Linked DNA regions of Nothobranchius furzeri. The protein of the gene in region 5 purifies or fractionates together with the protein of the main gene of each other region. This does not show direct contact. Links are inferred from orthologs where the notes say so. Each region holds a gene or a part of one and is shown on either strand. Other genes may lie near its edges.

Region 1 (3,948 bases), on a different chromosome or scaffold from region 5:
TCGGCCGTCGATGGATGCGGAACAGAACTGAGACTTCCAAACTCAGGAGGAGGAGCTACAGTGGAGCTTCTCACCTTGGGGGTGTTTAGTGACAGGTTATTGAGTGAAGTGGAAAGGATGGAGGGAGCTGCTGTGTTAGATTCAGAGGACATTTTCAAAGATGCCAGAGTTCCAAGTGATAGGCTACTCTGATTAGGAATAGTCGGCAATGAATTGGAAGCTACACTCAATGATGAAACATCTAAGCAAAACTTGTTATCAACTGCGCTCATTTTACTCTTTCGCTCGTGCTCACACATGAGCTGAGCCAAACTGGTGCTGCCGCCGACGCCTCCATGAGCATTTTCAAGCTGAAAACGTTTCTTTGCACAGCTGCTACTTGCAGGCCCGGTCTCGAGCGCTGATAAGAGGTTTCGTGCACTTGGTTGTGTTTGTTTATGTGCCGTGGATGTAGTGTCTGTGTGAGAAGCAGACAAGCAGGCTCCTTACCTTACGAAAGCCAAGCGAAGTTGTCGAAGAGGAGGGACGAGAGGATCACATGAGCAGAAGTGATGAATCACACCACATTTAAGAAGCAAGAACAAAAAGTAACAAGGCACTTTGTTAAACACATGCATGATGGAAATGTGTCATCAATAGAGCCTGTAGTAAATCCCTCTTAGTGATAAAGTGCTAAGCATACAGAATTAATGATTATTATCTGATTTCACTCATTTCCAATATTTAAAACAAATAAAACTTCAGGTTTGATTCACTCTAGGCGTACCTTTCTCAGCCACAATCTCCTGCTTGGTTCTTTGTGGAAGAGGCGTCGTCTCTTGACAAACTCTACTGACTGATGTCATCTCTTCATTTGCACTTCTGGTAACCGGGGCCGTTTTGGTGTCTTCAGACAGGACTGCATCCAATGCCCTCTGCGGGTCAAACCCATGTCTGACTGCAGCCTGGGTCAGCACCGAGTCTGGCATTGCGTCTCCGAGCACGGTCCGCATGTGGTCCAGGCAGGAATACAGCTTAGCTAGAACGAAACATGGGAGTTAGAAAAAATATATTCGAAAAAAACTATCGATTCAGCAGGATCAATCATATGTAAAAACATAAAAAATGTATACACAAGAATCCAAAAACATTTTGTCTGTAGTTGCAGTGAAATAAAAAGAGTACCTTGATTAAGAGGGTCAAGGTTGTGGTCGGCTGTTGGGGACATGTGAACATCTTCCACTTCATACTCTTCCTCCTCTAAAGGCTCCTCTTTGGGGGCTTGTCGCTCTCGACGTGAGTAAATGAACTGATTAGCTAAATGAACAAAATTTTGTTTAATTAAGTGCTGACTGCAAACCTGTAATACACAACAGCATCAGCCAAAAGATGAAAAATCAAAGACCCAGCATTCTTTAAAGAAACGCATATTGTCTGATCATTTTCATGTCGGAGTATATCCTCATCCCATGTTGACAAATTATGGAGTTACCGCTCAATATCTTCAAGACTGACTAAACTGAAGCCATTTCATTATTAGAAATTTTCGATTAACTTTAATTGGATTGACTGAAGATCAAACAACAAAGTTTTAGCCCATAATGTGTTAACTTGACTCAGTTATAGACATAGCTGCAGATTAGTTGTGTCCATGCAGAATTTTACTAATGCTACATAGAAAAAAACATGTAAATACAAACAGGTCACATTTTGATTTTTCATCATTCTTTTCAGAGGTGACTGATAACCAGAGATTGAAGAGGTGATCAATATCGATCTTTTGTTCTATTTGAGCAGTTTTGGCAACATGGGAAGACCTATTAGAATAGGTTGTTTTATTTGGCTGGCTGGCATTTTGATCAGAGTAATTGGTCACTTTAGTTACAGTAAAGACTTTAAAATCTGTTACTGGACATTTTTAAGAAAGGGTCTCAGAAGGAAACTAAACCAGTCCTTTATTAATACAGTATTTCCTCTTAATGAGTCACTGGAAACCAACCTGTTGCTGGTGATATACAGTAGTCATCATCCACAGATTGTCCATACATGTCATCATCTTCAAAATCTGATTAAAAATATACAAAAGAACAAGGTCAAATAAGTGCTTTTAATCATTTGCCAAATATTTCTTTACATCATTGTTACAGAGTGCTTTGTGCCAGATGTCACTCTGCCTTGTCAGCAATTTTAAAAATCCGCAACAAACTAACTAGCATGATGGTCGCCGGGTAATTACTCCGGTTTGAGAACCGTAACCGTTGAGTGTATGTTAGCTGTCTTAGATGAAACTTGTACAATTCATGCGTTTAGAGCTTTCTAACAAATCACTGAATAGCAGCCGCTACATTTATTATCATGCAAGTTGTTTTCATTGATTTCAGGTTTTTACGTTAACACCTGAATCAGTGGATATGCACATAAACGCCGGTACTGAGGTGTAATTTGTCTTTTTTTTTTTCTTGGTGCCAAATGACACGACAGCATTATTATTTTGGCAGGTGAACGTCGAACTAGCGTTAGCTAGCTAATTTTAGCCTAGCGGCTAAGGTGTTTAGCAGTCTGAAGGCAACGAATGAAGCAACAAATACTGACTAAAGTAATCTACCTTCATCGTAGTTGTAACCTCGAACATTTCTGTGGCGAGACATTTCGTCTTTCTGTCCTCTGTTGGTCCCGGTGTAGATGTTATTCAGCTCACATACATGTGTTTACCACCGCGGCTGCCATTGAGTTTGCTCCTGTGTAGTTTTCAACAACGAGTGTACGAATTACGATTTATTTAGCAGCACCGAAAACAACTAAGCTAAATGTAAAATGTTTTCTAACGTTTATATTTTCACAACGGATCATACAAATTTTCAAAATGCGTATTAAAGTTAAAAAAAGATAACTTCAAGATTTTTCCGCTGACGTCACTTCCTGTATGTACTGGAATCAGTTCTACTGACAGGAGCGGCTCTGAGTGGGCGCAGTTCAAACGGACCCACGGTCAGTTAATATTTACAAACTAATTTTGGACAAATAAACTAATACAGCTTAGAAATTAATTTGATACGGAGACAGTAATCATAAAAAACAACGAGCTAAATATATGTCTTCGATTATCAACCTTTATTTAACTTATTATGACTTTAGATTGTGTTCATTGTAGGGATCATCTGTGAATTTAAAAAATCATCACAGTTTCTACTAAAAATAATTACGCACCTGTTTCAATATGTGATTTGAAACGGTTGTTTTGACTTGTTGATCAGTTAAAAAAATTTTGTTACAAAACTGCAATGTTCAGCTCTATCATCGTTTTTCCAACAAACTAATTTAGTTTTCCAAGAAATTGCATTTTCAGGTCTTATCAATCTGCCATCAAGTGAGAGCAAACAATGAAGAGAAGAAGATGCAGAAAAAAGTAGCGAGCATTTTCTTTTCAGCAAGTCGTAGAAACAACTTAACAGATCCATCATGCATGCAACACACTTTTATGTCCCGTCTAAGAAGGGTGCAAATGTCAACAATCATCCTGTCAAAGGTTATGCCCCATGGTTAAAGAACAGCCCATCTGAGCTCACAACACCTCACATACACAATCTAGACTGACATATTTTTTTCCTGCTATCTTAGCACTACGTTGTTCAAGAATACAATATCAAGATAAACAGCTACAGAGTTTAGCATCCGACTGCTGCGGTCACCATAGTGTTTTTTTCCTGTGTCGCACGGCTTGTGGAGTTTCTCTGAAACAAATTCTGTCTAAATATCATAAAAATGTAGAGAAGAATGATGCTATGGTTCGTAATTTTGTTTAAAAAATTTTCAAATTGTATCAAATGTCATGATTTCTATTTTACACAGATGAATTGAGAGCCACGGCTACACTCATTGTGTATGCCTGTGATGACTCCATTCTGGAGATAAACTCAAAGAGAGAGGTATTAGTGGATTATTATTAATGGATAATCACGAATTGGACAG
Region 2 (4,196 bases), on a different chromosome or scaffold from region 5:
TTAGCACTGTTAGCTCTCACCTGAACACACCTGGAGCAGAGCTCTTACCCTGCCTCGTGTCCTCTTCCCTGCGACCAGCTTCATGAACCGGTTGTACTGCTCGTCCTGGTTGGACAGGTCACGAATTCGACGGATCTCGTCCTCACGCTTGCGGCGCTCCTCCTCCTCCTGCTGCTGCTTCCTCTGCTGCTGCAACTTCCAGGTGTGAAGCTGCTGCTTCCTGAAGGCCTGCTTGGCTGCAGGACCTGGCAGAGGCAGGTAAACAACAGCTCCATCAGTGGTTCTGGTGGGTGAACCAGAACCCCAACCCGTGGTCCAACCCAATGAACAGCCGAATCCCAAAAGAACTCTCACACACAGGCCCCGCCCTCTTCCTCTACCTGCTGGACGGCTGGTCTCACCTGGACTGATCAGCCTCTTGGTGTTGTGAGATCTTCCTGGAGTCCTGGCCCGGTCAGGCAGGACTCTGGGACCAGGTTTTGGACTCTGTTTGGTTCGGTCTCGGTCAGCTTGTCTGGGTCCAGTCGTGGTTCTGTCTGCTGCTTTGGACCTGGTCCTGCTCCTGTCAGCAGCAGCAGCTGCAGCAGCAGCAGCAGCAGACCTGGTGATGACTCGCTGCTTGTCCGGTGCCGCTGCTCCAGAACCAGAACTAGAAGTGGAGCTGGAGGTTCTGTCCTGGGAGGCTTTAGTGATCCGGTCTTTGCTATTCTTCATCACCTGCTGCTCCTTCTGCTGCCACTTCTTACTGGCCGACTGCAGAGCCAGGAGGCGGAGCTGCAGCTCTGACAGCTCCTCCTCCTCTATCTTCTCTGGAGGCTGAGAGACAACAGAGTACTAGCATTACTGGGTTGGGTTTAGAACATGGAAGTCCAGTTCATGCACACAACTTCCTGCGTCACCAGGTAAACATCTAGAACCTGCAGGATGGTGGACCATAAGAACTCACCTTGTCAGGTGAAACTGTCGAGTCCTCGCTGGAAGCAGAGGATTCGCTGGGAGCAGGGTTGACTTCCTGATGTTTCCTGGCTTTGTCAGACTCTGCAGAACCAGGTCCTTCCGACTCCGGGGCCTCTGAGCTTCTCGGGGGTTCTGATGAATCAGAACACAGGAAGTGTGACTCACTAGCCCACATCTCAAACACCACAGTCCACCATCAGGTACTAAACTCACTCACAGGTAAACTCGAGTACCTGTCATCATCCAGACTCACCCTCAGCACCACCACCTGCTTCTTGCTCCTCCCACTTGATGTGCAGCTGGTCCAGTTCTGCAGGTGTAGGAAGTTTCTGACGCAGAGGTTTGATGTTGAACGCCTGGAACACTTTCCTTTCATCCTTGTCCTGCTGATCGTTCCCTTCAGGAGCCCCTTCTGGTTCTGGTCTGAAGTCTGGCGGAGCAGCAGCACCAGTACCAGCAGCACCAGCAGGGCCTTCAGAAACTGGAGAAGACTCTGGCTCCAGCGCCATTGTCTCAGCCTTCCGGATGCACTCCAGCTCCAGCTGGATCTGTTTGTATTTGGTCAGAAGGTCCTCAAAGCTTTCGTCCATACTGGTATCGGTTCTGTCAAAAATGGCCGGTACTTTCCTGACCCGAATCCTCCCTAAAGGCCACTCTGGAGGCTCGAGTCAGGAAAAGTCCCACTTCATCAATCCTGATTAAATTTGATTACAACAAACTTTTACGCATCCTGAAGTTTACATGAAAGCAGATCAAATATTTAAGTGTTGAAGAAGTTCTGATAATTAACTATTCACCTGAAATCCCACACACATTACACACACGTAACACACACACACACATTACAGAATTACACACACACACACATTACACACACACACACACACACACGTAACACACACAATTACAGGATTACACACACGCACATATATTACACACACACACATTACAGAATTACACACACACACACATTACACACACACACACACACACACGTAACACACACAATTACAGGATTACACACACGCACATATATTACACACACACACACATACACATTACAGTATTACACGTCACACACGTTACCACTTGTACCGCTTTGTGTACACAGTAGGAACCACGCAGCGCCTGACTCGCTAACGGAAACAAGGATACGTTTCTTTGACGGAGACCCGTGACTCTCTCCCGGTCCGTGGCGACAGGGGGGGTTTCTGCTGTTCCCACCCGGACCGCCTCGAATCCAGGACCCGCGTCCACCGTTCGGTGTGACTCGGTGCCTGAACCGTCCCAGGGCCCCGTGGCTCCGCTCCCAGAAGTTGGATCGGGGGCTTGACTCGCAGTGCAGACCAGGTCCAGGTGACTGGGGCATGGACATCCCGAGTGGAGCGGGCAGAACAGGAGGTCGTTCAGGAACGTTTTGTTCGCATAGCTGCCGGTGGTTCGGGAGGAACGGGCCGTGGAGGTGAGGTCCGGGGTTGTAGGGCAACCGGAGGCTGAAATCTGGCAACGAGTGGTCCATGAGCGGTCGTATGTACGGTTGTTTGTGCGGCTTTCTTGGCCGGGGACGAGCGCCGCCGCGCGGCCTTCTCCCATCCCCCCGCCGCACCGGAACACTCTCTTCGATTTCGTCGTCGCAGATTTCACCGTCTTCGAGCTCGCCGTCCTCCGCCAGAGACCGATGGGCAGTGTTTGGGTCCATGTCGGGATGAACGTACCGGGGCCAGCTTGCTGTGCTGTGGATCAACGGGCGGGCGCGGGGATTCTTGGTTCTCCGTCTTCTCCAGGTCCTCTGACAGATACGGGAATTAGCACACAGAGGCTGGAATGTTAGCCCCAACTATCGCGATGTAAGCTTGTTGTACGAGACTTTGCCACCTTCTTCTTCTTCCCCCTTTCTATTGCGGTTGGTCAACACCTTTGCGGTGCATTCGCGCCACCACCAGGACCAGAATGATACTAAAGAAAATATCCGCGTTTCTTCCGATAGCACGAGCCTGGCGGGCAGCGGAAACCCCGACTGATCACATATGTAACGTTCACATATTCATTTTTACGGTGAATCATCCGTATGCTTTGTTTGATCACACATGTCCTACAAGTTAAGGCTACGCTGAAGGAGATTATCAACAGGCCAGATTAGAGCATCTAAAAGCTGTTCAAAGGGACAAGGCCAGGGCAAAGGGTCATCGCAACCTTGGCAGGGAAGATAGGACAGGAAGCAGGGAGTGAGTGCAGAGAGGAGTGCCAGTTACCAAGGCAACGGGTGATGGCCTTCAGTAAAGCTAGGGAGGTGTCAGCAGGAAACTGCAGGAGAGAAAGGATAAAAAGTTGGGCATCTTGTAAAATCTTCAGACTTGTCACAGGAACTGGAGGTGGCAGAATCTCCCCATGCATTACGGGTAAATAAAGTGTGGATGATTGAAATATAAGGCAACTTGGTGGCTTACTTCTTGCCCAATCAGAAATTAACGAACCAGGAAGGTAGAACAACATTTTGAGGAGCTACACCAATTTCTACATCATTGTTCCTCTAACACCCACCCACCACCAACATTTTTCTCCACAACACCAGCCTATCTCCTCTGCCCTGAGGGCTGTCCCACAGAGCAGCTCAGAAAACTGAGGCTCCCTTGAATTAGCATACCAGTTCATATTTACATAGCACCAAATCTTAAACGTACACTGTTTGAAGGCAAACATTCCAATGAACCTACTTATAAGTGCACTGAGTTCAGTTCATTAAGCCAATCAGTAAAAACTTTCCTATATAAGGAACCCAGCAGGTTGCATCGAGTCACTGACTAGTGTCAGAGTCTTTACAGTGTAGCGTTATGAACATGCCATTTCTGCCCTTAACAGCTGCCCTTTGACACAGTGACAGTGTGCATAAATTGCCAAGGTCGTACGCTTGCTTCTGGTGTTTACATTCCAGCAAAGAAGACATAAGAAGGACGAAGAATAGGGCTGCAACAAACGATTATTTGGATAATCGATGATTCGGATGGGGTCTCGACACGATTAATCGATTAATCGGATTACATGGGGAAATTTTTAAAAACTGCTAGGGAAACGTTATTTCTCTCCTTCCTTCACTTTATTTAACACAACATTATTAGAAAACAGTTCAATAGAAGAAAAACAACATGCCATCACCTAAATTGTCTTATAAGTGTACAGACAGAGACCCTAAGCTACATCTATCTGTGACCTAAAATGCTTGGTCCAATTAAACAGCTTAA
Region 3 (4,009 bases), on a different chromosome or scaffold from region 5:
GTCATCCACACGAAAACTGATCTTTTTAAAAAAACTCCGGCCAAAGTGAAGATGTGCGTTTTCTCCGTGTTGGGTGTCTGCGTGTGGACGGACAAAACCGGAGTTTTAAGGTCCGCAACGTCACTTTCTGCGACAAAGCAATGCTGACATCACGTGTGCGACCTGTGTTTACACTAGCCGACAGCATGGATGCCCTCAGAGCTGCGCTCGCTTTATCAATTGTCCAAGCGCTTTCTGCTTGTTTGTTTTTGCAAGAGGAATTACTGCTCCTTGCGGAAGACCACAGACGAAGGACGAGGTTAAGAACGGGGAAAGTACTGCCGCCTACAGGTCTGGCATGTCCTTAACAACGTATTTATCCAGGTACGTGTGGACAGTTTGTTTTTAAAACGAGGTGGTGTGGATGCAAGTTTTTGGAGGGGCGGATATTCGTTTTTAAAAAACCCCGGCTACGTGTGGACTAGGCCACAGTCTCATGACAGAATAAAAAAAGGGAAAGGCCCCACATGACCAGACACAGACAGGTTGTAACCATCTAATGACTTTTGAGGTTGTTTTTCTTTAAAACAAATCAGCGCGGCGGCGGGGCCCGAGGAGCCGGGGAAGAAGCACTGGCCGAGCGAAGGTGCAGTGAGGAGGAGAGCCGTCCTGACAAATAAACGTGTGTGTGTGTGTGTGTGTGTGTGCACGCGCTGTTTACTTTCATAATGCAGTAAGTAAAATAAGACAAACCTCACATGTCTCGAGTCACAATGAATTTGCGCGATACTTCAAAGCCTTGTTTACCGCTGCTACCAGAAACATTGAATGGAAAGAGAGGAGGCGGCGGCCATGTTGTAGCTGCGGAGCGTCGAGGCAGTAAAACTGACAAATAGGGCTGGGCGGATCGAGCTAAGATATCGATAGTATCGATCTAACGTTGGTATTGAGTATTTACTAGATACCTGCGTGATGGTATCGATTCCGTTTCTTCTAGCCTGGCAAGCATTGATTTACTCACCGCTACAGATGTCGGTCAACGAGGCAGTCCACCAAACTCCGTCAAAGAAGATGCAAAACACATCCTTTTCCTAAATAAACGTTAGTACTTCTATCTGATCTTGACTCAAACAAAAGCTAAAAAGTCATAATAGTCCAAACTTGACGCCAAAGCCATTTCAAACGAGCGGCTGACCGCCGACTAGTCAGTAGTGCTGTACGATACTGCAAAATTTGGTATCGATCCGATACCAAGTAAATACAGGGGCTAGTATTGCCGCCCAATACCAATACTTTTTACTACTAATCTAGTACCATCTAGTTTTGTGGGAATTATTAAGATAAATAGGATCAATAAAATTTGAGTTTTCAGACAACATCCTGCCTAAATAATACATTTATTTAGTCTGGCTTGCCAGGCTAGTGCTGGCGCGCTGTTTTACTTTTTTTTTTAATGTAACGGCGGGCTGCCCCGTTGACTGACATCCGTGGCATTCCAATCAGTGTTTTACTGGTTTGTTGGGCCAATCACAGTGCTCTTTTAGCGAGGTGGGAGGGATGTCCCTGCAAACAAACATGGCTGCCGCTCGAAACTGTCCAAACATAGGTATCAGCCAGGTAAACTACAAATAAAGATGGCTGCTGTTCTGTAGTGGTCCAATCATGGCGCTATATAGATTTCATGGACCAATCGCAACACTAAGTAGGCAGGATGTTATTGGAAAACAAAAAAAAAAAAACGTAGATCCCACCCCATTATTTAGATCTGTCTATGGGTCGTGGCTCGCCAGGCTAGTGGGATTCCTGTTCTCATACTCTTTAGATTTGAGCTCCGGCAGGTCCAGGTGCCAGTGTTCATCACTGATGATCCTCTTCTCGTCTTCGTCCAGCTGCTTCTTTGTCTCAGCATCCAGTCCCCTCTGCATAAACTGAAACACAAAGCACACATTTACTCAATCTGGACCCAACCAAAACCACCGTTAGCCAGGTCCACAACAATGCTGCCAAGATCATCAGCTTCCTGGAAGATCCAGAACTTCTAAAGTTGACTTCCATCAGAAATCTTCTCTCTTCCCACAACTCCTGGTTCTCAGGCAGCAGCAAGTTTGGTTCCTTCCTAGAGGTTCTAACAGTAAAACAAGAGGCACAGCTTTCCCTTCCCAGGCTCCTCTCTGGCGGCCACCAGGTCTCCCAGAACCAGTCGGTCCATCCTGGACTTGATTCTGTAGGACGTTGCGTGGTGCTGCTCAGGATGGAGGACGTGTTGGGAGTGAAGATTCTAATCATTGCACCAGAAGCTCTGGCTTTTTGTGAGCTGTGGTTCGGATTTTTTTGGACTTTGGTAGAATCTTCTCTCAGGTTCGGTCCTGGTTCAGAGTGGTCCAGATGAAGGAGGCACATCCCGCTCCTCCACGGGTTCACAGAGATCAGATACATCTCTGAAACACGCCTAAATCCGCTTCGTCTCGTTGCTTTACCCCGAATTCAAGTTCAGTTTCAGGGTGATAAACGCTGCTTGGAGTCAGCATCTGGGAGGAAACTAGCGTCTTCTTATCACACATCAAACGTTCATTTCTGTTTAGTCAATGACGTTCGGCGCAGAGCTAGCAGCTAACGCTTACCTTCATCCGCAGCAGGTTTTTTGACAGTTTGAATGAATCTTCCGCCATATTGTGCCGATTAATTTATACTAATTTAAAGTAAATCCGAACTCATTCAAACGAACTCGTTTAGATCTAACAATCAGCACTTAGCATTAGCCACTGGGCTAAGCGCTCACCACAGTCTGAAACAATCGAACATTGATGCGCATGCATGGTCGATGTTAAGGATGATGAATCAAACACGAGCAGCTGTTCGAATTGGATCCTGGTCATCTAACCTTTTCTAGAAAGATAAAAGGACATGACCGTGAAAACACTCGAAGATGAATTTGTGTAAATTATTTCAGTTTATATGTTTGTTTGTTTAAACCGAAACACATTAGCCAACAATAATTTAAAGACCAATGTGGCTAGCTTGAAGCCCCTCCCATTCACCATGGTAACACATGCTGGAGACAAGCCCCCAAAATTCAGCGCACAGATTTCACTCACAAACGCAGAAAGGTTCACAAATGAGAAGCTTTTCGTAAATGCACGTTCAGCAATTCGGATGATCTGTGAGTTTATATTACAAGTGTTCTTACAAATAATATTTGTGAACCACAGAGTGTGAACTTCAGAATTAGCGTGTGCATTTGTGGAAAATGTTGCGTGACTTATTTTTTCACATTATATTTATGAGTCAAAGAGTGTGAATTTCCGAATGAGCTTGTGCATTTGTGTTCCTCCGAATTATATTTGTGAAACACAAGAGTGTGGCTTTCCGAATGAACGTGTGCATTTGTGGAAAACGTTGTGTGACTTAATTCTTATGTCACTGCTTCCACTCCAGTCGGGGTTCTTTTTCCCCCCCCCTCTCTCTCTCTCCTCTTCCTGAGGAGGATCCACTCCCTCTTTCCTATTCACTCTCTCTCTCTTTCTTTACATTTTTAATCACAATTGTCTATTTTTTGCTCATTTTAATTTAATCATTTTCTAAATTCTTTTTTCTATTTTACATGTTTTGTTTTTGTGAAGCGCCCTGTGATTTTTATCTTGAGAGGCGCTATAGAAAAGATCTTTTTTTCTCTCTCTCTCTCTTAATTCATGCACTTAAATATTAATGTTCTGATTTTATTGAAAAACTTGTTCTGTAATAGTTCCTTTACTATTGTGATCAAAAACATTTAATCTCAACTCTGAGGCTGCTCTGTAAATAGTTTTCAAATAAACAATACACATAGCAACTTCTGATCAAACTTAAAGAGCAAGTAACGTCTAAATTAACTTTTTTTTGCTGATGAACTGTATAAATGAGTGTCTAATAGTGTTTTAAATGTGTGTATTCATTATTTTAGCATTTTGGTGCATTTTCTTAAAAAATTAAAAATTCTGCCTAAATACCACAGTATAGCTCCACCTTCAGCTTAAAACATAGAATTTGACTC
Region 4 (3,500 bases), on a different chromosome or scaffold from region 5:
AACTATTAAACCGACGTCTTTATGACGCTGCAGCCGGCGCCGCGGCCACTTCCACACGGGCTGAATTTCTAAACAAATTTCTACTTCACCAGAAAGGACACGACTTTCATATCAAGTAAAAACAAACAGGAAATGAATGGGAGAGTAAATAACTCACTGCTGCTTGCTGCCGCACAGTTGGGACCTTCTGGAGGGACTCCTGGTAGCTCCGTTTAGCTTTAGCTCGCTGCTCTGTGGAAACAACAACAAATGATGTGACTCTGCTTTAAAAATTTAAAGGATAATTGAACCAAATTACCTGATGCTTTCTTTGCTTGTTGTTTTGCTTCCTCTCTGATTTTCTTCTTGGCCTCCAGCTCTTTCTGCTGCTGCTCAACACTCTGAAGTTTCCATCTCTTGCTAATCTGTTAAAATAAGAAAGAACATCCATGAACATCCAAACAGGAAAAAAAACCTAAGCACTAATCAACAGAGGGCTTCGATCACCTCAAATATTTTTGAGGATGGGTCAAACTTGGCGTTCTTGTTGACGTGGACATCAGCTGAAGGCAAATACTGGGATAGCAAGAGGAAGATACACGATTATTCAGTTAGTTAAATAAAAATGTGAATTAGGTTAAATGTTCCACCTCTAACCATTCTGAAAGGGTTTTCAAAAGACTCAATGATGCGTCTCGCTTTCATCTGAGCGACAGACATGGATCTTTGGTCATTAGGAGCTTCTGGTTCCTTCAGGAAGAAAAAAAAAACGCATTGTTATAAAAAACAAATAAACAAAAGCTGAATAAAATGCAGTAAAATAGGTAGAGCTACCTGGAACAGCGTTATTTTAGGTGGTGCCGACAGACGGATTGTTTCCTCATCAACATCCTCTGAGAACAGGACCCCCTTTTTAACAGATGATTCTGAAAAAAAAAAAACAAATAAATAAATAAATCTTTCCTGAAACACTTTTTCCAGGGTATCTGCAGGTTTAAGGGAGCCAAATTTAAGACTTTTTAAGACATTTTTAAGGCCACTTTGACCAAATTTAAGCTGTTTTTGAAATTAAATTTAAGCTATGATTTCCAGCTATTGCCTGGAACGTCGCGAACGTGGGATTAGCCATCCAGTTACCATTAAACTTGCACTTTCCCATGGCGCAGGCTCCCACTAGCTTAACCAGCTAATGTGCTCATCTAAAAATAGTCCCCTTTCACTGAATGTGTACGGTTCCGCTTATGCCAACATCGTACACAAAAAATGCTGAACACTAACTAGAAATTCACGAATTTTTTTTAGAAATAAAAGAATCTTGTTTATTGGGTCTTTGGTAATTTAAGACCTTTGTAAACTGTATTTAAGGATTATTTGTCATTTTTAAGGACTTTTAAGGCCTTAAATTTGGAAAAGCAAATTTAAGACTTTTTACGACTTTTTAAGGACCCGCGGATACCCTGTTTTTCACTGAAACTTAGAAAAAGCACAGTAACTGTCAAGCTCACCGTCAGCTGTAACTTGTGGCACTTCACCCTCAGAAACCTTGGACACATCATGTGGACCAAACAAAGAGACCTCTGGCTGCAACATAAAAAACAAAACATGAATTTTCCCCAAATGGTGGCTGTCTGTAGCTGCTGGTGTCGCCCATTCAGCCTTCAGCTAACCTTCCTAACGGGCGTGAGTCCTTTCTTCTTCTGAGCTGCAATCTCAGCCTGTGTGAAAAGTGACAAACGCATCAAACCATGACAGATTCAGGCACAGTGACAGCGCAGAGCATCGGTGGTTCCTCACCTTCAGCAGGGGCATTTCTCTGGCTTGTTGCACCAATGAATGCAGCTCGTTGACCTGCTGCCTCACCAGCGGTGGCACGGGGATACAGCAGGCGATGATGCCCTGAGGCTCTCTGAGGAGGCCCGACAAATAAAAACACAAAAGTTATTTATAATAAATTACCTTCTGCAGTGATTTTAACGTAAAATCTACTGGACTTACTTGGGTAATTCCTCTGATATTTTGATCATCATGTGGGTGGGCAAAACGTATCTGAACACAAATAAAATCACATTTAAACACCTTGGAGCAGAAGGAGCATTAATATTTGGTTCTTTGCCGACTGTGCACACACACTCCTAATATAAATAAGCCGCTATGATAGAACATCACTTCACAAAGCCTTACCCGGTGCTTTCATCTTCCTGCCTGGCCAGCTTGTCCCTCCAGGCAAACAGGAGTCTGAAGGCAGTGAGCTGCTGAGTGTTAAAGGACTTTTTCTGCTTCCTCTGCAGCTCTAAATAAGACTCCTCGGTGTAGATGGGCTTCAAATATTTCTGTTTAAAAAGGAGAGAGTCGGGTCACACAGGGGAAGGAGACACGTGACATGAGGTAAAAGAGAAAACTGTGGGCAGGTGATAAAAACGAGAACAACTTTGTGCAACAACCAGGACTAGAAAGAGACACCAGGGCGAGTTTTACATGCTACGTTTAGACAGACTGGTGTCGTATCTGTATCATCACAATCCCTGCTGCTGAATTTATGGGACATCCTTCCTGACACTCAAAACATTTATAACACACCAATCTGTGAAATCATGTTTAATATCATTTTAATGTAAACAGCCTGTAGCTGTAAAATACCAAACCCATTTAGAATTTAAAATCCCAGAATGCACTGGAACAAGCTTCCTTCTGCTGCTGCAGTCATAAACTAACAAAAAAAAAAAACAACTATGCTTGCCTTAGCATCTAAGTTATATTAATAAATAAAGCGATGCATATTTTCTTTATGAAGATTTTGACATAAAACATCTAGAAAATCGGGGGAATTCCTTTGCAAAAAAAGCAAAATTTGACCCTCGGCTTGGACAAAGTTCTTAGATTTAAAACACAACAAAATGTCACTCCACCCCTAGAGATAATGTCAATTAGAAAAATAATAAAAGCACACCAGAACAAACAGAAATGATGCAAAACAACATGGACTTTAGACAGAAGTCTCCAGACCGCTTGTGCATGTGAGAGTAAGAGACGTTTGAGCAAACCTTTAATGAAATGTCTCGGCTCTTGTTCCACACACACTGCAACAGTCCCGGCTGCCCGTGGTTGCTGTCTAAAAGCTGCGCTCTCACACAGTCGTAGATGTAAAGGAGGTAGTGGGTGTCTGACCGAGCGTACTGAATCATCTCCTCTGGCAAGGGGCTGCAAGGACAATTAATACAAATTTCTTTTTGAGTTTCAGCTTTCAAAAGATATTATTATAAACATTTTCTTGTTGATTAATGATTAAAAATGTGTCCAGTTAACAACACACCGGATCCTCCAGTCGGCCAGCTGGTAACGTTTGTCCGAGTCCACGTCGCAGAAGTGTTTCAGCAGGTGGTCGAGGGAGTGTCGGGCCAGGTTGAGAGCTCGACTCGCCTGATGTGTGTCAAACAGGTTGACGACGTACAAACCAAAGTCCCTCTGGAGCCACTCGATGTCTGAATCAGCGCCGTGGAACACCTGCAGAACAGAAAACCAAC
Region 5 (2,349 bases):
GCAGAGGGCGACAACGTCCTCTGCTGCCCGCGGATAAACGACGTAGGAAGTGACGCCACCATCGGCGTCAGCTCTGACAAAGTTTGCAGCCGCAAACGAAACGCTGCAGGTAAATAAAACCTTTCTGTTTTTAAAAGAACGGAAAGATGGAACGTTTTAGTAAGGATGCTACGCAACGTTTGATCAACGAGACCCCCGGTCCAGAAAAGAGAACCCAGTTCTGTTTTCATAGCCGACTACAAATAACTGGCTTTGTCATACGAAGGCGGAGGACATCTTGTTCTCGTCAGATGATTCAGCTCCACTGTGCCTGCACGTCTTCAACATCCTACAGAAACAAACCTTGTTGCGTCGTGGGACAAATAAAAGATTCCTGTCGCTCTGGTTTCCATCCACCCTAACCCGAAGGCGTTTCCATCGAGTCAGTCAGACGGAGGTTCGGTCACTCTCAAGTGTGAATATTTGAATTAAATCAATAAATCCTAATGAATGCACTTAAATGAAAAGATTTTCCTCTCTTTTTATTTGAAAATAATTAATAAAAACTGAATATTTATGCTTTCTATTAAAAGAAGACTTGGAAGGGGGGGGGGGAATCAGAGGTTTTTGGAGTAGCGCCGTCTCACGGAGTCTCTGTAGAACTGGAAGACCTTCTCCGATGCTTTCTGGCTGACGGCTACACATTCCTGCAGCTGTGGACGAACGGAAAGACAAACGACGGAGTCAGAGGAACGAACAGGAAGCCGTAAAGGAATTAGAAACACAAACACACACAGCCCGCTTCATCGCTCACCTCCTGGACCGAAAATGAACCTTTGGTCGATGACATCATCACTCTTCGTTCTGTGCTGTCGATGGCGAAAGTCATCAACGCTCGACTTTCCTTACGGAAGAAAAAACAAAAGGTCAGCATTAGCCTGCGCTGTTACCATTAGCAACCAGCTGGAGGCCCAGAACTACCAAATGAGCTGTTTGAGTCACACTAAACACTTTGTGTATTTCCTAAAATATCTTAAAGAGCAAGTCAACCCCTACCAGAATCTAACTCCACTCCCACTTCATGTTTGAAAAATGCAACAAATGCTGTTGCCTGGCAGACCAAGGGGGCGGAGCTGCTAACAAATACACACACACAGACATTGTGACATCATAATCTACCAGTTTACATCATAGCATACCTCTTAGCCAATAGTGGTGGAAGATTTAAATTAGAATACAATGCAGAGTTTTTACCTGACAACGGCACAACACTGCCAGTTTTAGGCAGAATATTTAAATTTTAACTAAGATGCACTGAAGTGACAAATTATTGACGGCACGTGTCTGCAGCACGATTAGACACTCGTTTCTTTAGTTTATCAGCAAAAAAAAAGGTTATTTGGGGTGACTTGCTCTTTAAAGAGCAAGTCACCCCCAAATCAGCTTGTTTTTCTGATAAACTATATAAACGCGTGTCTAATCGTGCTGCAGACACGTGTCATCAACAGTTTTGCACTTTTATGCATTTTAGTAAAAATTGAAATATTCTGTCTAAAACTGTCAGTGTTGTGCCGTTGTCAGGTAAAAACTCTGCACTGCAGTTGAATTTAAATCTGCCGTCGCTATTGGCTAAGAGGTACCCTGGAACGTTAGCTGGTACCATATGATGTCACAATGTCGTTGTGAGCCTGTGTGTGTGTATGTTTTGTATGGTAGGGGGTGACTTGCTCTTTAACTTGTTTGTGATTTATCCTCGTTATTGTTGCTTGGATGCTCTCTTTTCGGTCTCCAGTCGGTCACAACGTGCCTTCTCAGGTCTTTTCTCAGGTTCCTCCCAAAGTTGTCTCACATTTCAAACAGAAACTAAACAGAATCCTTCCAGGACACCCACAAAGACCCAGAGACCCAGGTGCGAAGCCCTGCGACTCAGGAGGAAGCTAAGAACCTCTCGCAAACATTTTGAGATATTTTGGAAACTCCCTGGGAAATGTAGTCGTGGCCCAGAGAGAAACTCTGCAGGTGAAGTAAGTAAAGGTCAGCACCCACAGGTTTTTAACCACGGATGGATGTGTGGTCTGCTGAAATGATGTCGACTGCACCGGGGTCGTCTGTGCCGAATTCCTGGGAGCTGTTTTTCTACAGGCTCGTCTTCATCAGAGCTTCGCATCAATTAAAACCTGAAAAGAACTAAAGGAGTCTCAGTATTTGCTTCAAATTCCTTTCAGATTTACTTTCTCCTGAGCTGCTGTGGGATCTGCGATGATGTCACCGTCCGCACCGATGGCGCACGTCACTCCACAGAAAAGACAGCTCATGGACAAGCCTGCATCCATCAGAGCCATGCAGGCCGCATTCAGGCAGCAGGACAGG
Region 6 (3,982 bases), on a different chromosome or scaffold from region 5:
GGTCTGGTCGGACGGCAACCGCTGCTTTTCCTAAAGGCTTCGGTTCCAGAGAAGGTCAAGCTGTCATGGCCTGAGGTATATTGTTCCCCACACTAACCCTTCTCCTGCAGGTGGGCGGTGCCGGAGAACTGCCCAGCTGCAGCCACTCAGCTGCAATCACCGGCTGGCTATATGAGGGGCAGTCTGAGACCTACACGACGTCGGATGATTAACTCGTTTGGGTATATGACCTAGTCTCGAGCTCTGTCGCTATCTTTGAGCGTGTTTTGTTTTTGTGCCCTTGCTGATTGCATTTTCCTACAGCAGATATCACTCTACATCATCCCGCCAGCCGATCTCTCTCTCTCTCTCTCTCTCTCTCTCTCTCTCTCTCTCTCTCTCTCTCTCTCTCTCTCTCTCTCTCTCTCTCTCTCTCTCTCTCTCTCTCTCTCTCTCTCTCTCTCTCTCTCTCTCTCTCTCTCTCTCTCTCTCTCTCTCTCTCTCTCTCTCTCTCTCTCTCTCTCTCTCTCTCTCTCTCTCTCTCTCTCTCTCTCTCTCTCTCTCTCTCTCTCTCTCTCTCTCTCTCTCTCTCTCTCTCTCTCTCTCTCTCTCTCTCTCTCTCTCTCTCTCTCTCTCTCTCTCTCTCTCTCTCACACACACACACACACACACACCAGAACCAGCTGCTAATGGTTTGTCAGGAAAACTTATGAGATGTTCTCCATCACTTTGGAATAAAAAAAGACGGTAGACTGGAGTTCTTCAGACAACCCACTTCACCCTCTATGTGTGTGTGTGTTTGTGTGTGTTGTACCTGCGCCCTTTACTCTGCAGAGCCTGGCAGGCCGTCTGGGTGAAGATGACTCCCTGCAGCTCCCTGAATTCCAGGATCTCCAGGAAGTTGACCACCACCTCCACCCCCGGCACCACATAGTGGGTCAAGTCTCCGGGCAACACCTTGCCATCTGTTGAGGGGTCATCAGGTCGTTACCATGGCTACACACAACATATTCACTGTTTTATACAGAAATCAGATGTTCTGTTACACTGATCTACCTGTGATAATAAATCCATCAGAGAAAATACAAATATTAAATTATATCGGTCCTCTAACGTTCGGTTGGACAAGAATGTGAGTCTACCAACAGCTCCAATCCATCCATCCATCCATCTTCTGAACCCGCTTTGTCCATGTAGGGTCGCGGGGGGGCTGGTGCCCATCTCCAGCAGTCAACGGGCAATTAGGCAAGGTACACCCTGGACAGAGAGCCAGTCCATCGCAGGGCAACACAGAGACACACAGGACAAACAATCATGCACACACACACACACACATAAGGACAATTTAGACAGACCAATCAACCTAATAGTCATGTTTTTGTACTGTGGGAGGAAGCCGGAGTACCCAGAGAGAACCCACGCATGCAAAATGAGACCATGCAAACTCCATGCAGAAGGATCCCAGGCCGGGAAGCGAACCCAGGACCTTCTTGCTGCAAGGCAACAGCTCTAACCACTGCACCACTGCGCAGCCCAACAGCTCCAGTCCGAGTCATCAAATCAAGTTTAACCAATCTGCTTGTTAAATCTGTTGGAGAAAATGAAGTTTAAAGCAAAATTTTGTTTAAATGAATCAAAAAAAATCTTTACAGTATGCTCTAATGGGAAACAGGTCTCAACACAAACGGTTGGTTTCTGCTTGGTCCTAGAGCTCAACCAGTGTCAATTTAGTATAGCGTAATATTGTTTTTGGATGGTAAAATGTGCAGGGGTCAAAACTTGACGTTGGAAAAAGTGGGGAGGGACATGCCCCCCCCCCCCCCCCCAATTACGTCCATGCATTTACTGATTAGTAACAAACGATTATAAAACTTTCACTATTAATAAACATTGTTTTACACATTTATCTCTTCACTTGTTGCCACTGATGAAAGGAGGTCTGATGTGCTTGTCATTTTCCTGAAGTTTGCACTCCTCAGGGCTTTTTGACCCTAATAGGCATCCGTTGGTAAGGTCTTACTCCAACACAAAAATGCTGCTTGCTTGCAATGTTTTAGGTGTCTACTGCTCCCCATCAACCAGGAAAAATACACACTGGCACATTAAAGACAGTTTTAAGTCTGTTTGGATCGCTGGTACATATTATATAATAGAACAGTCCTTTGTCTTTATGTCTAACTGTTTTATCTTGTATGTTTTTATCTTATCTGTTTTTCTTTAGTGTAAAGCTAACTATGTGTCTGTTGCTGCTGCATCTTGGCCAGATCATCTCTGTAAACGAGAATGAGCTCTCAATCGACTCATCTGGTTAAATAAAAATAAATAAAGGTTTAATAAATGAAGGACTGGAAATAAAACACTCGTTAGCTCTTAGTGGCTGGCTGTGTTTTTAGCGACTAGATGTGTTTTATCGGCCGGTTTATTTAGTTATTTTTGTTTGTTTTTTGCGACTAGTAGTGTGTTTTATAGACTGGTTGTGTTTGTAACGACTAGTTGTGTTTTAAACGGCTGTTTGTGTGTTTTTAGCAACTAGTTGTGTGTTTTGGCGGACTTACCGTTAGCACAGGCCGCCTGACACAGAGAGCTGAAGCAGGGAACCCGCTCCCTCAGATAGTGCTCCCGAACCACCCGAACCCTCCGGCCTCGGTAACTCTTCAGGTGCAGAATCTTCTCGGTTTTAATCATCCCGAACTCTGAACCGAAATGGATCAGCAGCCGCTGACCCAAAGTTTACAAACCGGAACTTTAAAGTGAAGACTATGTTTTGGCGGACTTGTGAGAGGGAAGCTCCAAGTGTTGTGCCGAAAAGAGCATGCCTGGCGAAATGTGCATCCCCGTTGTGGAAAGGCGCTTAAAAAGTACTATTAATGTAATATTATTATGTTTATCTGCGTGATTCCTTACAAAAAGATCGTTTGTAGGCAGATAAATTAAAGAAATTTATGTTTAAAACATTTTTATTTGAAGAAATAGTAATAAAGTAGTAATAAATATTTTAAAATGAGTAATTTTGTGTCACGTGTGTTTTTTAAGAACCAACAACAAAATAGTTGGGAGAAAGCACAAAAATACATAAAAAATGCTCACTAAAACATTATTCTCAAACGTTCAAAAACGTAATTTTTTTATAACTATTTCATCATATTTGTAAACAAAAACAAAACGCTTTCACGAAAAACACGTAACAGAAGCGTGTTAGCCTCGTCGCTCATAAAGTATTCTAGTTTACCTCTATGCTTATTTCATGGGGATACGCATTTCGGCAGGCATGCTCCTTTCGGCACAACACCTGTTTCCGTGTTGAGAGAGTCGGAGCCACGGTTGGTGCTGTCCTTTTGCGTTCATGTACTGTCGGACAAAAGAAAACTCATGGATTCTCTTCTGTCCCGCAAACAGAAATTCTTCAGGTGTTTTTCAAAAGGTTTTTGAATTTACCAGAATTTTCTGAAATAAACAAAAAGACGACGTTTACAAAATATGTTCTAGGGGTTGATTAAAAACACTTTTATCTGGAAAAGTTTCACATTAAAAAATTGTTCACAAAACAGTTAAATGTTTGCTTAAAGGTATCTGTGTTGAACTAGCCTGGCAAGCCAGACTAAATAAGTATATTATTTGTATTTAAACTTAAAAGGGAGGAATCTGGTCTAGTTTTACTAGCCTAGTATTGAACACCTTTTCTGGTTAGAATACTAAACAGGAAATTCTGTCATCAGCACTTTTTTTCCCCCCTCTGTGGCAAACAGCAAATCTTTTATGATTCATGTGATGAATTTATTGTAGTATTGTGAGAGGTTAAACATTTTACAGGAAGCCTCTAGGTGGACCTAGTGTTCTGGATGCAAAGTGGGGTGTACTTTAACATTAGACAAGCGGAAGTTCGTTGCCGGGAAGCATGGCTGTACCTGTGTTGGAGTAATAAATATTCCCAAAGAACAACCCACTCTCCGTGAGCTTATTCTTGCCACCAGAGGATATTACATTTATATACAATTTTAAAAAG
Region 7 (4,204 bases), on a different chromosome or scaffold from region 5:
TTGTAAGTCGAATAAACATAAACAATAAACATAAATAAAAAAACAAAACCCTTTACAATGAAATGAATCTTTAATTGAGGCGTAAAAAGGACATTTGTGAAGATTTATGTATTCTGGTGAGTGATTTTTACATTTTATCTGGTCACAAGGACAGATTATGTGACATCAGATTCATATTTGGGATAAACTATCATACCTGTGAAATAGCACCATCTGCTGAACAGACTGAGATCTCCACAGAAGTATCCAACATTCAGGGGAATTGGTTCTGAGCTGCTTTGCCCATTTACTGTTACTTTTATAAGACTGTCTGGAACCTTGGGAAGGGGCCTTACCATATTATAATAAAAGGGAACCATAACCATAGAAAAATGTTACTGCAAAGTTAAAAACAATCTATTATATTTTCAAGTGAATTTGAATACACATAGCCACCAAGAAGCATGGATTTACACAGGTAAAATGGCTCATTTCTGAGTAAGCATCAGACAACAGCAGAGATAAATCCAGAAAAGTCTTTACTCACCGGTGTATGCATAAACTTTGGGTCTGAAGGGCCAGATTAGTGAGCTCTGCAAGCTTTGGCGAGAGCTTAGAGATTTCCACTCTGTATTTTTTTAGCGTGCCATCCTCAGCAACAACCTCAATTTCTACTCTGTTCAGCCCATCTTTCAGTTTAACAGTGCTGGGGCGGTAACCAGACAGCTGAAAAGACAGATTCTGAAAGGGTTAATAGGAAAAAAATTGACAAGAATTTAAATAAAAGCTCTCCAAACACGCAGGAGAGTACTTACAATACTGTATGATGTTCCACAGTCGCTGGTGCTCAGGCCCAGAGTTACTTTGTTGACATTGCTCCCCACAGTCACTGGTAGTCTGTGACTTCTGGTGAGAAGATGGAGCTCACCATCAGAGACTGAGAGCTTTTCCAAATCACAGTTGTCCATGTCCAGCCTTCACTGCTTGAGAGCGTGTGCAGCCAAACCCTAAAAGCACACCAAACAAGCTCATTTAGCATGCTGACGCCCCGGGTTACCATGGTAACGATGGCCTCGGCTCTAGTTTTACTTTCTCAGTAAATGTAGATCTTTCTTATTAAAGTGATACTAACTCACTTTAAATGAACTGACTTGGTGTGTAGTTATTTATTTAGTTAGCAGGATATAAAAACGCTAACGTGAATGGCAAATATGATTAAATTACAGCAAAGTGATACTGAACCTCTCTGTAGCTGATGATAGTTAAAGGTTAACGTTAACAAACATGTATGGTAGCTATCAAAACCTGTGTCAGTCTCGTGGCGTCTTATTTGCACATTTTAGTTTAGTTTTACCAGCAAATTCGGAGATTCGAATCACGTCAATTACTCCGTTTCGGTGGGTGGCGGAAGCATCAAGCGTTGTTCATCTACCATCTTTAAAAGGTAGAAGAAGAAACTTAAGGCGAAGAAGAACATCGTTCCTCCAGACAGCAGATGGCAGAAGAGAGCAGAATGGGGTGCGTGCTCTTTGTTATTGAACGCCATTTCCTGTCGTTTTAAAGCGTGTTTCGTTCTAACAAGGTAGATATAAAGATTTACAAGACGTTTGCCTGTCTGCTCATACTGTTTTGTGATAAGTAAGTTAATCTTTGATGACTTTTCCTCCTCATTTACTGCGCGCGAGGACCCGTAGATTTGATGGGGAAGCACCAGCCCAAGCTAGTGGCTATAAATGTGTCAGAGATCTGAATGTTTGTGTGTCCGAGTTACAGCGGGGATTTATGAGATCTTATTTTTACCGTTTTACAGGAAAATGGCAGCAGAAAGCAGGAGCCTCGAGGACTACCCGTACGAAATAGACGAACAGCTGACTACTTTCGACTCCTCCGTTAATGCGGTGAAAACCATGCTGGAGAAACTGATGTCCATGTCCAGGAATGATCAGCTGGAAAAGGTACAGCGAATGTAAAGTGTCGGATGGACAATCTAAAACAAGATTACGGAACTATATTAATAATAATAAGGCAGTGTGCCCCGCTTGGTAATGGAACACAGTGACATTGCCACATGTCAAAGTTTTTCTCAACTTATAATTAATACGGAGAGTCTCAATCATGATTTATTTTATTTTTTCAGTCCTTGATACAGATCTGAGTCATTTACATCTGTCTATATGAGTCCTAGGATGATCCCTGCTCATTTTATCTACTTTTATTTATCAACAGTTGATCACAGATCAGTTTGTCTCATTCCTGCTAATGGATTTTTTAATATCACAAGTTTATTTAACTAATTTATGAAACACTGACGCAAACAAGAATTACAGCCAGGATAAATAAACACCAGCTGGTATTAAGAGACATTTGAACAGCTGACACTGTTCCTAAAATGTGATTCAAACTGGGTATTGAGTTTTGTTCATTCATGTTCAAGCAAAGCATCCCATGTTGAACCTGATCAAAGCTGGTTGACATAAAAACTTTAAACAGTAACTTAATAAAGTTAAAGTCCCATTAGTCGTCACACACTGGTGAAAGTCATCCCCACATTTGACCCGTCTCCGTGGGGAGTGGTGAGCTGCAGCTGTAGCTGCGCTCGGGAACTATTGGGTGGTTTAACCTCCCAGTCCAACCTCTTTAAAGCTGAGTGTCAAGCAGGGAGGTATTAGGTCCAATTTTTAAAGTCTTTGGTATAACCCTACCAGGATTTGAATCCCGATCTCCCAGTCCCAGGGCGGACACTCTACCACTAGGCCACTGAGAAGGTAATATAATATTAGAAATCACAAGCGGCGTGTTGGGATACTGATCCACATGGATTAGTAAAAATACTTAACCGGTTTAATTGATGTTAAATAGAAAATGTGATGCTATTTTTTCCTAATTTTCCACAGCTTGATCCTTTGGACCAAGCCAAGTTGGATTTGATGTCTGTCTACACTCTGAATTCATTATTCTGGAGTAAGAAATTTCCTTTAAAAATTACATCATATATAAATGTTTCCTGGTTTCCTTATATATAATATAAGTAGTAATATAATGAACTGACCTGTATTTACTGTGTGAAGTGCCTTGAGACGACCGTTGTCGTGATTTAGCGCTATATAAATTTAAATTGAATTTCCATTGCTTGTAACTCACATAGTCATATCAGAAAGCGTGGAAAGGTAGTTACTCGGATGTTTGTTAATTTAATGAGCATTAAATTTCCAGCCTGAATAAAATGTTTTTTTTTTTACCTTCTAGTTCTGTTTATGAGCTAGGCATGGACTTGTTCCGGGTGTTTATTTCTTTTTCAAATATTTCTATTAATATTGTAGGATCAATGAAAATAGTTATGAAAAACTATCATGCCCCTGTAGAAAAAGCAGTCTTAACTTTTGTTTTTCGTTCTAGTGTACTTGGTGACTCAAGGAATAAACCCAAGAGAACATGGGATCAAACAGGAGCTGGTGGGTGTTTCTTCTCTGTGTTTTCATGCTTTTCTCTTTTTTTCTGATGGTCTAATCTCCATGAATCATCCCTGTTCATCAGGAACGAATAAGGACTTACATGAACAGAGTCAAAGAGATCACTGACAAAAAGAAAGCTGCTCGTCTGGATAAAGGAGCTGCTTCACGCTTTCTCAGGAACGCGCTTTTTGATCCGGAGAGCAAACAACCGAAAAAGGCTGCTTCTAAGAAACCGGCCGACGCAACTTCTGACATCTCAAACGCAAAACGCCCAAAACAGAGCTGAACTTTAGGATTTGCTCAGCAGACACTGATATTTGGACTAAAAGGCATTTTGATGGCAGTTTTTTTTTTGTTTCTTAACCAGTTGGTGTTGAAGAAATCAACATTGTAACAATCTTCTCTTGTTCACTGGGAGACAAAAAGAACTTTTCTCTCCTGGAGACATCATCTGTGATTGTGTTGCATCTCTGACAGCAAGTGGTCAAGATTCACATCAGCTTATCTTGATATTGAAACATGACTTTATTCAAAAATATTTTTTTAATTTGAAAATTATTCAATAAATCAAAAGTTGTGTTTTTGCTGAGTTTGTATATTTTATTGGCCAACAAGTTTTAGTTTATTTGAATTTTTTTTAGCATTTAAGCCAAAAACTGCATCAAAAAGTTGCTTATTGATATTTCAGCTGAAAGTTGTCTTACGCCACTCATTTTTTATAGACTATATTTTCAAATGTAACATCAGGTGCAGCACATTTGTAAAAGAATAAA

Evidence for each region.
Region 1: the proteins of exosc5 (region 5) and hbs1l purify together in Homo sapiens (affinity purification with mass spectrometry; 3 studies listed by BioGRID and IntAct, with this or other methods). This does not show direct contact. The link is inferred for Nothobranchius furzeri from reciprocal best matches to the Homo sapiens genes EXOSC5 and HBS1L.
Region 2: the proteins of exosc5 (region 5) and zinc finger C3H1 domain-containing protein purify together in Homo sapiens (affinity purification with mass spectrometry; 3 studies listed by BioGRID and IntAct, with this or other methods). This does not show direct contact. The link is inferred for Nothobranchius furzeri from reciprocal best matches to the Homo sapiens genes EXOSC5 and ZFC3H1.
Region 3: the proteins of exosc5 (region 5) and mphosph6 purify together in Homo sapiens (affinity purification with mass spectrometry; 6 studies listed by BioGRID and IntAct, with this or other methods). This does not show direct contact. The link is inferred for Nothobranchius furzeri from reciprocal best matches to the Homo sapiens genes EXOSC5 and MPHOSPH6.
Region 4: the proteins of exosc5 (region 5) and exosc10 purify together in Homo sapiens (co-immunoprecipitation; 8 studies listed by BioGRID and IntAct, with this or other methods). This does not show direct contact. The link is inferred for Nothobranchius furzeri from reciprocal best matches to the Homo sapiens genes EXOSC5 and EXOSC10.
Region 6: the proteins of exosc5 (region 5) and dis3l purify together in Homo sapiens (affinity purification with mass spectrometry; 5 studies listed by BioGRID and IntAct, with this or other methods). This does not show direct contact. The link is inferred for Nothobranchius furzeri from reciprocal best matches to the Homo sapiens genes EXOSC5 and DIS3L.
Region 7: the proteins of exosc5 (region 5) and c1d purify together in Homo sapiens (affinity purification with mass spectrometry; 4 studies listed by BioGRID and IntAct, counting the BioPlex papers as one, with this or other methods). This does not show direct contact. The link is inferred for Nothobranchius furzeri from reciprocal best matches to the Homo sapiens genes EXOSC5 and C1D.

Annotation. Positions count from the first base shown.
Region 1 is NC_091742.1:448,477-452,424, reverse strand, and holds the start of hbs1l (HBS1-like protein), read right to left. Parts: upstream 2,801-3,948; 5' UTR 2,628-2,800; coding exon 2,585-2,627; intron 2,045-2,584; coding exon 1,979-2,044; intron 1,297-1,978; coding exon 1,165-1,296; intron 1,019-1,164; coding exon 767-1,018; intron 485-766; coding exon of another isoform or gene 1-484. UniProt on the Homo sapiens protein: GTPase component of the Pelota-HBS1L complex, a complex that recognizes stalled ribosomes and triggers the No-Go Decay (NGD) pathway.
Region 2 is NC_091744.1:80,026,363-80,030,558, forward strand, and holds the start of zinc finger C3H1 domain-containing protein, read right to left. Parts: upstream 2,801-4,196; 5' UTR 2,657-2,800; coding exon 2,113-2,656; intron 1,613-2,112; coding exon 1,211-1,612; intron 1,090-1,210; coding exon 947-1,089; intron 817-946; coding exon 402-816; intron 246-401; coding exon 49-245; intron 1-48. UniProt on the Homo sapiens protein: Subunit of the trimeric poly(A) tail exosome targeting (PAXT) complex, a complex that directs a subset of long and polyadenylated poly(A) RNAs for exosomal degradation. The RNA exosome is fundamental for the degradation of RNA in eukaryotic nuclei.
Region 3 is NC_091744.1:80,075,428-80,079,436, reverse strand, and holds the start of mphosph6 (M-phase phosphoprotein 6), read right to left. Parts: upstream 2,801-4,009; 5' UTR 2,649-2,800; coding exon 2,601-2,648; intron 1,908-2,600; coding exon 1,795-1,907; intron 1-1,794. UniProt on the Homo sapiens protein: RNA-binding protein that associates with the RNA exosome complex. Involved in the 3'-processing of the 7S pre-RNA to the mature 5.8S rRNA and play a role in recruiting the RNA exosome complex to pre-rRNA; this function may include C1D.
Region 4 is NC_091755.1:29,805,560-29,809,059, forward strand, and holds part of exosc10 (exosome complex component 10), read right to left. Parts: intron 3,481-3,500; coding exon 3,290-3,480; intron 3,178-3,289; coding exon 3,021-3,177; intron 2,310-3,020; coding exon 2,161-2,309; intron 2,026-2,160; coding exon 1,975-2,025; intron 1,886-1,974; coding exon 1,774-1,885; intron 1,695-1,773; coding exon 1,647-1,694; intron 1,561-1,646; coding exon 1,485-1,560; intron 906-1,484; coding exon 814-905; intron 730-813; coding exon 637-729; intron 556-636; coding exon 487-555; intron 405-486; coding exon 299-404; intron 232-298; coding exon 158-231; intron 1-157. UniProt on the Homo sapiens protein: Catalytic component of the RNA exosome complex which has 3'->5' exoribonuclease activity and participates in a multitude of cellular RNA processing and degradation events.
Region 5 is NC_091753.1:58,582,384-58,584,732, reverse strand, and holds the end of exosc5 (exosome complex component RRP46), read right to left. Parts: coding exon 2,211-2,349; intron 884-2,210; coding exon 794-883; intron 693-793; coding exon 597-692; 3' UTR 501-596; downstream 1-500. UniProt on the Homo sapiens protein: Non-catalytic component of the RNA exosome complex which has 3'->5' exoribonuclease activity and participates in a multitude of cellular RNA processing and degradation events.
Region 6 is NC_091749.1:66,618,705-66,622,686, forward strand, and holds the start of dis3l (DIS3-like exonuclease 1), read right to left. Parts: upstream 2,801-3,982; 5' UTR 2,665-2,800; coding exon 2,535-2,664; intron 945-2,534; coding exon 794-944; intron 1-793. UniProt on the Homo sapiens protein: Catalytic component of the RNA exosome complex which has 3'->5' exoribonuclease activity and participates in a multitude of cellular RNA processing and degradation events.
Region 7 is NC_091752.1:37,833,640-37,837,843, reverse strand, and holds the start of c1d (nuclear nucleic acid-binding protein C1D), read left to right. Parts: upstream 1-1,404; 5' UTR 1,405-1,474; coding exon 1,475-1,497; exon of another isoform or gene 1,498-1,617; intron 1,618-1,789; coding exon 1,790-1,934; intron 1,935-2,873; coding exon 2,874-2,940; intron 2,941-3,375; coding exon 3,376-3,431; intron 3,432-3,513; coding exon 3,514-3,717; 3' UTR 3,718-4,204. UniProt on the Homo sapiens protein: Plays a role in the recruitment of the RNA exosome complex to pre-rRNA to mediate the 3'-5' end processing of the 5.8S rRNA; this function may include MPHOSPH6.